3 linked regions of the Saccharomyces cerevisiae S288C genome follow. Changing the gene in region 3 together with the main gene of any one other region gives a genetic interaction. Each region holds a gene or a part of one and is shown on either strand. Other genes may lie near its edges.

The links.
Region 1: mutations in SEC28 (region 3) and BRE5 together harm fitness more than expected from each alone (negative genetic interaction), as found in Saccharomyces cerevisiae (4 studies listed by BioGRID).
Region 2: mutations in SEC28 (region 3) and GCS1 together harm fitness more than expected from each alone (negative genetic interaction), as found in Saccharomyces cerevisiae (4 studies listed by BioGRID, with this or other methods).

What each region holds. Positions count from the first base shown.
Region 1 is NC_001146.8:716,709-720,466, forward strand, and holds BRE5 (Bre5p), read right to left. Parts: upstream 1,620-3,758; coding exon 72-1,619; downstream 1-71. Other genes in the region: CCR4-NOT core DEDD family RNase subunit POP2, read right to left, coding at 2,638-3,758. UniProt on the Saccharomyces cerevisiae protein: Has a role in de-ubiquitination. In conjunction with UBP3, cleaves ubiquitin, leading to the subsequent mono-ubiquitination of sec23.
Region 2 is NC_001136.10:50,526-54,084, forward strand, and holds GCS1 (GTPase-activating protein GCS1), read right to left. Parts: upstream 1,649-3,559; coding exon 590-1,648; downstream 1-589. Other genes in the region: septin SHS1, read left to right, coding at 1,920-3,559. UniProt on the Saccharomyces cerevisiae protein: GTPase-activating protein (GAP) for ARF1 and ARF2. Involved in intracellular vesicular transport. Required for transport from the trans-Golgi network.
Region 3 is NC_001141.2:214,552-218,100, reverse strand, and holds SEC28 (coatomer subunit epsilon), read right to left. Parts: upstream 1,444-3,549; coding exon 553-1,443; downstream 1-552. Other genes in the region: proteasome regulatory particle base subunit RPN2, read left to right, coding at 1-238; RCI37 (Rci37p), read left to right, coding at 2,148-3,110; threonine--tRNA ligase THS1, read right to left, coding at 3,398-3,549. UniProt on the Saccharomyces cerevisiae protein: The coatomer is a cytosolic protein complex that binds to dilysine motifs and reversibly associates with Golgi non-clathrin-coated vesicles, which further mediate biosynthetic protein transport from the ER, via the Golgi up to the trans Golgi network.

The sequences.
Region 1 (3,758 bases), on a different chromosome or scaffold from region 3:
GATTTTTTTTTTTCTTTTTCAAATTTTTTTATTATTTTTTCAATTTTTCTTTTTAAAAGGCTTGTGGTTGACTAGTCCTTTCTTTTTAGGGGTTGCTTTCTATGAGAACGTGTTCCATTAGTAAATATGCCAGGAGGATTATTGCTCGTGGGCTTCTTTACTGTTTTTCTTTCTAAGCATACTTCAATACCATCAATTGACTTTTTCTTCTTCTCTAAAGCATCGATTTGGCTCTTTTGAGTTTCAAAGTCGACGACGGCAAAATTGTCTGCAGCTGTTATCCTCATAACTTTACCGAATTCTTTTTCTAAGGCACTTCTCAATTTTTCTTCTCTTAAGCCATTTGTACCTCTAATGTAGATTGGATAAAAGCCGTCCTTGTTAACGGTGCTGAATACTGGTTTTTTCTTATTTTTGCTGTTAGCACTAGCGTTGTCCCTCCGATTCCCCATTTCAAATTTTCTTTCAGTCGGTTTCTTGGGTAGTGTTTCAGGTCTGATGTATTCAACCGTGGTATTATTTTTGCTAATTCTGTCGGAGTTTTCATTCATCAACTTTGAGGCCCATGTCATCTTTGGTGGATTCGCAACGGGCTCTGGAGAAGATGAAGGTGTTGAAGCGTTATTGCCGGATTCTTTGGCGTCGGAAACCTGTGGCTCTATTGGTTTAATTTCAGTTTCAGCTTCCTTTACGCCCCCAGGTACCGGTTTTTCATCACTAACTTCTTTACCGTTGGGCAAAGAAGAGTTATTAACAGCATTTATGGCCTCAACAGAGCCTTCCTTTGTCTTGATTGGTGCAGCTTTCTTTTCGGCTTTGTGAGATTTTTCATTTAGTTTAGTAACGTTTCCTAACTCTTCTGTAGAGACCTCATCTTGTTTGTGGTTGCCCTTAGTACTAGATGGTACCGTTTCGGTGTGAATCTTGGACTCTTTAGTGACGGGTATAGCCCGAGGTTGACTATGATCGACAATTGGTTTTTCCTGAGTTGACGATTCAGTTGGCGCAGTTGTGTCTTTGACCGTTTCCTTTTTGGCCTTTGGTTTCGATATTTCTGGTGATTTTTCTTTTTCTTTTTCTTTTTCAACTCCGGACTCATGCCTTATTTTATCTTCTTCAACTGCACTGACAGAGTTCTCCTCGTTAGATTGTGACAAAGAAGCATCTGTTAAGACATAAGGCTTGAATGAATTGGAAATAAATCTGATTATATCATTGGTAATGTCAAACGTAGACCCATTGCTGGATGGTAGCAGGATAAATGTTTGACAAAACTTATAGACCGGAGTTCCTGTCCAAAACATTTCACCCGTGGCCATGATCAGAATGCTTTTGTGCAAGTGCCCAGTGTACTGGAAATCTATAGTATCTAATTTTAGTTTCAAGCTCCTAACTTTGGCATCATTTCTAGAAAAAAACTTATTAATGTTTTCACGTCCAGTAACTTTCACCGTTGGAAGAACGTCATCTTTTTCGTTTGTTGACTTGGACTGATAATTAGTATGCGTCAACTCGGCTGTACTTGCATAAAAATATGCCAATTTGGAAGGGTCGGTCCTCATTCTTTCGTAGTAGTTTTGCAAAAAGGCAAAACATATGTCTTGAACGGTAACACCCATTTTCTTTTATTTGATACTTCTATTCGAGGGTATGACTTCAAATGCAACTATTAGTGACAAGGTAATAAAACTATAACACACTTGAAAAAAAAAATGCGATGGTTTTGTAGTATTCTTCGTGATCTTTTTCTCTTTAAAAATCAACGAAAAATAAAGATGTATCAGTAAAATAAGTTTTCAACAGATTCTCTGTAAAATGATTGACTAATTGAATATTTGAAAGAAAATGAGGTTTGAACGAAAATAATAAAACAAAAAAAAAAATGTAATTAAATGGGCAAAAATGAATTAAAATGTAGGGAAAAAACACAACTTGAAGAATTAAACAGAGTAAAAAAACGAAAGCTTGTGGTAGGTGATATAAATAAATTAAAGCAATATCTTACTGTTTATTCTTCCTCTAGAATAGTTTTGGTACTAACGGTAACTAGAAAACTGAAGAAGTTTTTCGTATTCTTCTAATACTCAAGCAAAATATCCTATGTCAAGTACTACCACTTGTACAGTCTTCGTTTTGTACAAATTAGGTATGAATTGCTCTTTTTTGAAACAGTAATGGGATAAAAAACAAATGACTTAGTTTAACGTCCGCCGGTTGCGATAGAACTTTTAACCGTAACAATAGTAACAGTGGACAGGAAAAAAAAACGGTACGAAAAGGTAATATTGCCTAATCTGAAATAATGTAGTCACTCTAGAACTATTAATAAAGAAGCTTGTACTTCCTCTTATCCCTGGAATGGACGGTTATGCTGCTTGCAATATGTCATTCTTTCATTAATCGCCACCTGATGTTTTTCGCTGCTTTGGACGAAAAAATTTCCAAGAAAAAATAAATGGTTAAACAAACTACAGCGCACGTGACCGATAACTATACGGGAATAACGCATCAATCTCCTGTGGAAGAGTGCTTATTGCATCGAAGAACCAATCTGTATTACTACATGTCCAATCATAAGCTGATGTTGCTTTTAAACTTTTTTTTTTAAAATTGTGTATACATATAGTACATAAATGATCATTGGTCCCCATCAATACCGTATATGACACCTTGGTACTTGGCGAAATCCGTACCGTTTGGGAACTTATGCATAGACAGCTTGCTCAATTGGCAGAAGGATAGAAGCATCAATAGACTCTGGCCGCCTGTAGTAGTAAATATAGAGAATCTTGGTAGCCCTAACTCATCGGCAAGTGTGGTTAGTGAATATTGCTGCTGCTGTTGCTGTTGTGAAGATTGTTGCAATTGAGGGTTCTTGAACTCCTGGATTATTTTATACACCAGGTTTAAGTCGTAGAAATTGGGCATGTATTGATGGACCCACCACTCGAAATCCTCCTTGTTGTTGGGCATGGAGTCATTCATTAGAATGTTGATCAGGAAACCTAGATCATATGCCGCATGGTATGTGATCCAAGTAACAGAATCATCCATCATTAAACCAGAGTCCATTAGAAGCTGCGAAAATTCAAATACATCGATGCCTAAATTTTCGTGTTTTTCGAAGTTGATACCTGATTTTCTGAGTAATTCTAACGATTCTGTGGACATGATTTCCTTCTTTGGGTCAAATTCAAAATTGAACTGCCACGTTGAGGGACCGTTGTCAGGCTTATTGCCGTTGGCGTCACTCAAGGAAAGACCAAGTTGTATTGGGTTTAAGAAGTCTACGTTGGCCCTCATTGTCTGATAGTGGTAATCGACCTTCGACCTGAAAGTGCCGATCGGCCTAGCCAAAGTCCCCACAAACTCAGTACTGATTGACACATGATTATACTGCGAGACCAGTTGTCTTATAACGGCGAATTCACTGTAAAGGTTGGACTTCCAGACATCGCGAACGAAAAGATAATTTGGGGGTGGTAAAAAGATCGGTGGCATACTTTGGTTGGTTAAATGCTTGGGTAGCTGGGAAGCCAAGGGACGATTGAGTCCCACTCCCTGCTGCTGTTGCTGCTGTTGTTGTTGCTGCTGTTGTTGTTGCTGCAGAACGTTCAGTCCGGGCGGCAAACTAGCCACCGAAACAGGCGTTCCTATATTAAATGGCTGCTGTTGTTGTTGCTGTTGCTGTTGTTGCTGAGTTAACAGTGGCTCGTTCTTCTGCTTCAAAAGATAGGCATTGTTCATCTCCTGATTAA
Region 2 (3,559 bases), on a different chromosome or scaffold from region 3:
AATGTCAATAAGTAGCAAGTGCCGCTTACTCGTGAGAATATCAACCTTATAGCATATGTTTTCTATTTTTTTTTTTTGCTTATGGAGATAATGAACATTGTACACATGAACAAAGTGGTAGTTCTCTCTCCTTGATTTTTTGTGCTTGCGATATATATAATTGTTACATTCAATGGCCATGCTAAATAAAGGTTTTAGCTTTGTTTCACTCGTGCCCAGGATAATTTTAAGGCGCAAACATCCAAATAATGAAGAAAAGGATAACGATTGTCCCAGGTCTAAAACATTTTTTAATAATAGCCGTCATTAGCCTTGCAACAGTACAACAACGCCGATGGGAAAGGATTGCAATTCTATTTGTAATTAATAGGTTGTATAATAATTTACGATATGGCCTTGTGGTAACTATTTATGAATACTGGTGTAGACTTATTTATAATCCTAGAGAGTAAACCTCTTCTTGTCAAGATATGAAAAATACAAATTTAGAGACAGAAGTATTACGTGTAAACTTTACAGAACCACTTCTCCATTATAGCTACAATGTGAATTGAACTTTCCTTGAATGTTGAGAAAAACTATATTAAAATTAGAAATCGTCCCATTTGTCCTCGTCCTGTTCATTCTTCTTATCGTTATTATCAATCTTTTGATATTCTGTATGGGTTGTATTCCCTGCTGTAGAGCTATCCTCTGCATTACCATTGAAATTTTTAGTGAAGTTACTAAATGCTTGGAATCCATAACTACTCGTTTCTTGAAACTTTTGGCCAAACTGGGCAGCTGCTCTCTTCGTTTCTTCTGACAACTCTCCGGATTGCCATTGCTGGACGTGAGGCTTAATAACCGTTTCGTTTACGTCCTCGAACGATTTGGTTACAGCGCTGGAGAAGAGGCCCCATCCTCTGCTCAATGTTCCCAAAGGATCAGCTTGAAAATTTTCCAGGCTCAAAGTATTGCTGGACCCTGCAGACCGTTCTTGTGGAGGTTTTGCGGGTGTACTTCCAAAGCCCTGATATTTACCACCTTGAGAAGGGGGCAAATGATCTGGTCTAGATTGGTTCTTCTTGCCCAGCTCAGCAAAATAAGCTTCGTTCTTCTCCTTTTGAAAATTGGCACCATTACTAGAGTTTGCTGGTGTTGCAGATCGACGGTTCTCCAGTGGTGTCCCTTCTCGACTTTGAGCAACACCAGGCGTAGCGGATGCAGCGGTTTGAGAGGTTGCTGATAACTTGGAAGCATCAAAATCCAAATGCTCACGCTCTTCAAATACTCTATCTTCGCAAAGACATGTTAACTTTTCTTTATAATCCTCTGCGACGGGGTTATCGTATTTCACTTTTTGTGGTAAACTCAGGTCAATATTATGCGACTTGAACCATTCAGTCAAAGGTTCGTTACCACCTTTTTCCATACGAAGAAGTTCCTCCGGTTTAAACTGATCCATAGTGATAGATCTTACAAAAGATATATGCACACCAAGCCCTCTATGGATACCGGCACATTCAAGGCAAATGAAAGCTCCAAACTTAGGCGTGGCCCATTGTGGATTTGGCGCACCACAATCCATACATTTCTTATTTGCACCAATCTTTTGCAATTGCAAAAGACGCCTGCGGGTATCTGGGTCCACTTTCCAATCTGACATGCTCTATAATCCGCGATAAAATTGCTCAATTGGCACCATTTAAACTCAGAATCACGTCCATATTTCTGCTTTCATTCTTGATATAGTTGTGCAATTTGGTTCTTGACAAAAACTGGCGTTGCTTGCGGGTAACCGCGCGATTTTTAAAGTGCCAAACTGCGAAAAGAATATAACAAGCTTTCGAGCAAGATCAATGTACCCAGCAAGTGAAATAATAAAACAAGAGCCCCAAAGATCTGCTTATAATTGCTAGAAAAATATATTATTAATCATGAGCACTGCTTCAACACCGCCAATTAACTTATTTCGTAGAAAGAAAGAACATAAACGTGGGATCACATACACAATGTTACTATGTGGGCCAGCAGGTACAGGAAAGACCGCCTTTGCTAACAATCTATTGGAAACTAAGATCTTTCCGCATAAGTATCAATACGGTAAATCAAATGCTAGTATTAGCTCTAACCCAGAAGTAAAAGTTATTGCTCCGACAAAAGTTGTTTCATTTAATTCGAAAAATGGGATTCCATCTTATGTTTCTGAATTCGATCCAATGAGAGCCAATTTGGAACCAGGTATTACCATCACCTCCACTTCATTAGAACTTGGGGGCAACAAAGATCAAGGAAAGCCAGAAATGAACGAGGATGATACCGTGTTTTTCAACTTGATTATGACGCATGGTATAGGCGAAAACTTGGACGATTCGTTGTGTTCTGAGGAAGTTATGTCGTATTTAGAACAACAATTTGACATTGTTTTAGCTGAGGAAACCAGAATTAAAAGGAATCCGAGGTTTGAGGACACCAGGGTTCACGTAGCATTATATTTTATTGAACCCACTGGACACGGTCTGAGAGAAGTCGATGTAGAGCTCATGAAAAGCATCTCCAAATACACAAATGTACTGCCAATAATAACAAGAGCTGACTCATTCACCAAGGAGGAGCTAACTCAATTCAGGAAAAATATTATGTTTGATGTGGAAAGATACAACGTCCCAATTTACAAATTTGAGGTTGACCCTGAAGATGATGATTTGGAATCCATGGAAGAGAATCAAGCCTTGGCATCCTTGCAACCATTTGCTATTATAACTTCAGATACCAGAGATAGTGAAGGTAGATACGTTAGGGAGTATCCGTGGGGGATAATATCAATCGACGACGACAAAATTTCGGATTTGAAAGTTTTAAAAAACGTCCTGTTTGGTTCTCACTTACAAGAATTCAAAGACACCACGCAAAATTTGCTTTACGAGAATTACCGTTCCGAAAAACTATCGTCCGTGGCCAACGCTGAAGAAATTGGTCCTAATTCTACAAAGAGACAGTCAAATGCTCCAAGTTTAAGCAACTTTGCCTCTTTGATAAGCACTGGTCAATTCAATTCTTCTCAAACTCTTGCAAACAATTTGAGAGCGGACACACCAAGAAACCAAGTAAGTGGAAACTTTAAGGAAAACGAATACGAAGACAATGGCGAACATGATTCAGCAGAAAATGAACAGGAAATGTCTCCCGTGAGACAGTTGGGTAGAGAAATAAAACAAGAAAATGAAAATTTGATAAGATCTATCAAAACAGAATCTTCACCAAAATTCTTGAACTCTCCGGACTTACCAGAGCGTACCAAGTTAAGAAATATTTCAGAAACCGTTCCATATGTCTTGAGACATGAAAGAATTTTAGCAAGACAACAAAAACTGGAAGAGTTAGAGGCCCAGTCAGCTAAAGAATTACAAAAAAGAATTCAAGAATTAGAAAGAAAAGCACACGAATTGAAATTGAGGGAAAAACTAATAAATCAGAATAAACTAAACGGTTCATCATCTTCAATCAATTCTCTACAACAGAGCACAAGGAGCCAAATTAAAAAAAATGACACGTATACTGATTTAGCCTCTATTGC
Region 3 (3,549 bases):
AGTCGACAATATGACCCGTATACTACCACAACAATCGAGATATATTTCCTTTATTAAGGACGACAGATTTGTTCCTGTACGTAAATTCAAAGGAAATAACGGTGTGGTGGTTTTAAGAGATAGGGAACCCAAGGAACCTGTAGCACTAATTGAAACTGTTAGGCAAATGAAAGATGTTAACGCTCCACTTCCAACCCCATTTAAGGTCGATGATAATGTCGACTTCCCTAGTGCTTAGATCAAGGGTGCATGGTCGTACAGAAAATGAAGAATTAGTTCAAAATGCCAGAAAATAAATAATAGTGTACATACTTTTAAAAAAAAATCATTGAATTATTCTGCCAGGATTAGCTACTTTACGCATAATTCTAACGTGACAAATGTTGTTTCCGCTTTGTTAATTATACTTTATATGATTTTGTTCAAGCCATGTCAACCTCATTTATGGTACCATCTTATTCGGCTTTATCAAAATAGTATATAGGCATATACATGAAATATTTTTTTCTTTTTCTAAAAAACCTACATGTTTAATGTGAGATATTACGTAAATCAGTTGGACGTATCATATTTCCTCACTAATTCATCGAATTTTGCGTCAATTTCTTGGTGATGCTTGATGAATGCATGTTCGTGATCCAATTTAACCAATTGATTTGTTAAATCTTCAGTATCAAGACCTTGCATAAGAGCAAGCGTAATTTGGTTTGCTAAGAAAGTAGGTTTGTACAATACGGCGTTTTCTTTTTGTTCGACGCTATAGTAGTCAGATAGTAATAGCTCGACAATACCCTGAGCTTCAGCTATGTTTCTTTGCTGTAAATGCAAATTGAGCAATCCCAATTGAGTTTTCCAAGTAGGAAAGGTTTGAGATAGCTCTTCATAGTAGTAAAAGTTGGATGTTGCCGTTTCTTTGTTTGTGGCAAATTTAATGTACGATTCAGCCAGGTTTAAAATCATTTCGTTGTCACCGGAAACAGTATCCTCAATAGCATTAGTGTAGTTATCAAAGATGGTGGACGCGGTCGAAACGTTGTTGTTTAACAAAGCGACTTCGATGGCAAGCAGCAATAATTCTGTAGTCCCTTCTGCTTCGTCATTGTCAATCCCTTCTACACATGTCTCCAAACTTTTATCTAAGTCACCCAAGATAGCTTGAGCCGTGGCTAACAGATATAATTCATATGGTGAATTCTGTTTATCCTTTAACAAATTTTCTAATTCTTCAATGTTTTTTGTATCTAAGAACTGGACGTACAAGTCTAGTACCTTGCCAAGCTTAGAGGTAGGATCTTGTGATTGATATTGGCCTAGAGCTAAAAGGGTTTTCGCCTTGTAGAATAATAAGGTGTTATCTGTGACCTTGCTAAACTTCTCTATTTCCTGCAAACATTGCACGAAGTTCCCCGTGTAGTAATTCTGCTTGATATTAAAGTAATCCATGATTTTTTGTCTGTTTCTATGTTCTCCACCGAGTTCTTCACAATCCGTTCTTATACTGTAGCTTGACGTGTTTTTCTGTAGAAACTGTAGTTTTTCGCTTGACAAAAAACTGAAAAAGAACCAACAAAAAATTAAGATCACCTTAAAAATTAAAAATAGAATATCTTTATCCCATTGAAGACGCTGCATACGCACCTATACAGCAAGACAAAAGATTTTATACAACATTACGGTTCCAATTGAATGTAATGTTACTATATAGTGTGGACACTAAAGAGTGAGATCAGCGGGCGTCCTGATCGTTGCGTTGGAGCCATCTCCTGAATTCCATTTTAGCAACTATTGTTCCGGTATAACCTCTTTTGCAGCCTAGAATGTTGTGAGTACTAAGACAGATACCATTTCACCAGCTTGTGGCTCCCAATTCTTTGACATCAGCAGCACGCTGCTACAGTCGATCTTTGACGAGACGAATTTTAATAGCTAGCGTAACAATCCGTAACAGGAAATTTCGTTCATAGTTACTTGTTTATACATTATTTCCTTCTTTTTCTGTGTTTTTATTTCCGCGGGTGTAAGTCAAGCAAGGGTGAAAGCCTTATGAGCTAATGCTACTTTGACGCAGAACAGAACTTTTTATGTGTCAATGCTTAATATGATTTTCGTTTTAAGGAGCAGCCTAATTTCAAGCGTAGAACAAGGTGATGTTGGGAAAAGAAGAAGAACAGCAATATGGCCAGAATGGTAAGGGAATGGAAAATGAACTACCCTTTATGAAGAGGCCTTGGTTTAAAAAGGCTTATGAAAATGCTATTGAATTTCATGAAAAAGACGAATTGCTGGATGCAAGAGACAGGCTGGAGTTATCGAAGGCCTATAGATCCATTGCTAAAGCTGAGATGTGGGGTGGTTGGCTTGGGTTTTCAGCTGTATTTTTAACTCCATTTGCCTATCGTTACTACAAGACCAAGGCTATTAAAGGTGTTAAGGTGCCGAGGAATTTTGTCTTGGGTGTAATGGCTTTATTTTTTGCTACAAATTTTGCTGGTAGGTCCATGTATACACGACAGTTGAACGAACGTGACCCCACAGGTGTTTTGAAGGATAACTATTCCAACAAATATGGTGACAACGACTTTGGAGCCTTTCAACATGATCAAACAAAAGAAATTCCGAGAAATCAAAGGCAGTACAATATGATGCGCTTATTAGATTCAGGCTCCCCCTCAAGGTGGTCGATGTACTTTTACATAACGTACCAAAATCCGGAGAGAAGATTGCCAGACCCGAAAGTCAAACTGCAGCAAATGAAAAAAGGCGGAGTTTTTAACGGCTCGCCCTTTATGAACCAAAGGGATCCTATAGGATTGTATCGTAATAAGGGTAGAAAATCTCCTGACCCAATTGAAGGAGAGCAAAACGACAGTCCTGTTCTGTCTTCCTGGGAAAAAATCAGGAACGGCGACAACAGTTCGTCTTCATCATGGGAAAATATAAGGAACACCAGTAGAGATCAGTCGCAGGAATCAGATGCTTCAGTGGATCATGAATCCGATATATTTATCTCAGGATTTTCTGACGATGGTAATGCTACCGATAATTCCTCTTCTGATGACAAATATCAGCGTTTACTGCAGAGCGGGAGATATGGTGGGAACCGCTCCTAGACGACGGAGTAATAATAGCGTATGGTCACTAATTTGTATATAGGTATATGTTTGGGCCAAATTCGGCGGGTTCCTGAATTTGTTTTTATATATTCGTAACTTAAACACTGCCGGTGAACACCATCTGCATACCAAATTGCTTTCTTCCATATTGAATTCGCGCACATCTTATCGAAGGAAAAAAAAAGAAGAAATAGTTAATAGAGGTAAGATTCCTTCATCATACTCATTTTATTCTTTACAAAACATAAATTAAATAAGTCAAAATTTAACTACATAAAATCTCATTAAGCTAAGACGTTGTCACCTCTCTTTTCATCTTTCAAGTTACGCAACTGTTTCAAAACTTCTTCAACAGAAACAGTAGCATTTTTACCCTGTTGTTCCATAACGTCTCTGTTTCTAATGTTAACAGATTTTTCATTCATTTCTTGTTCAC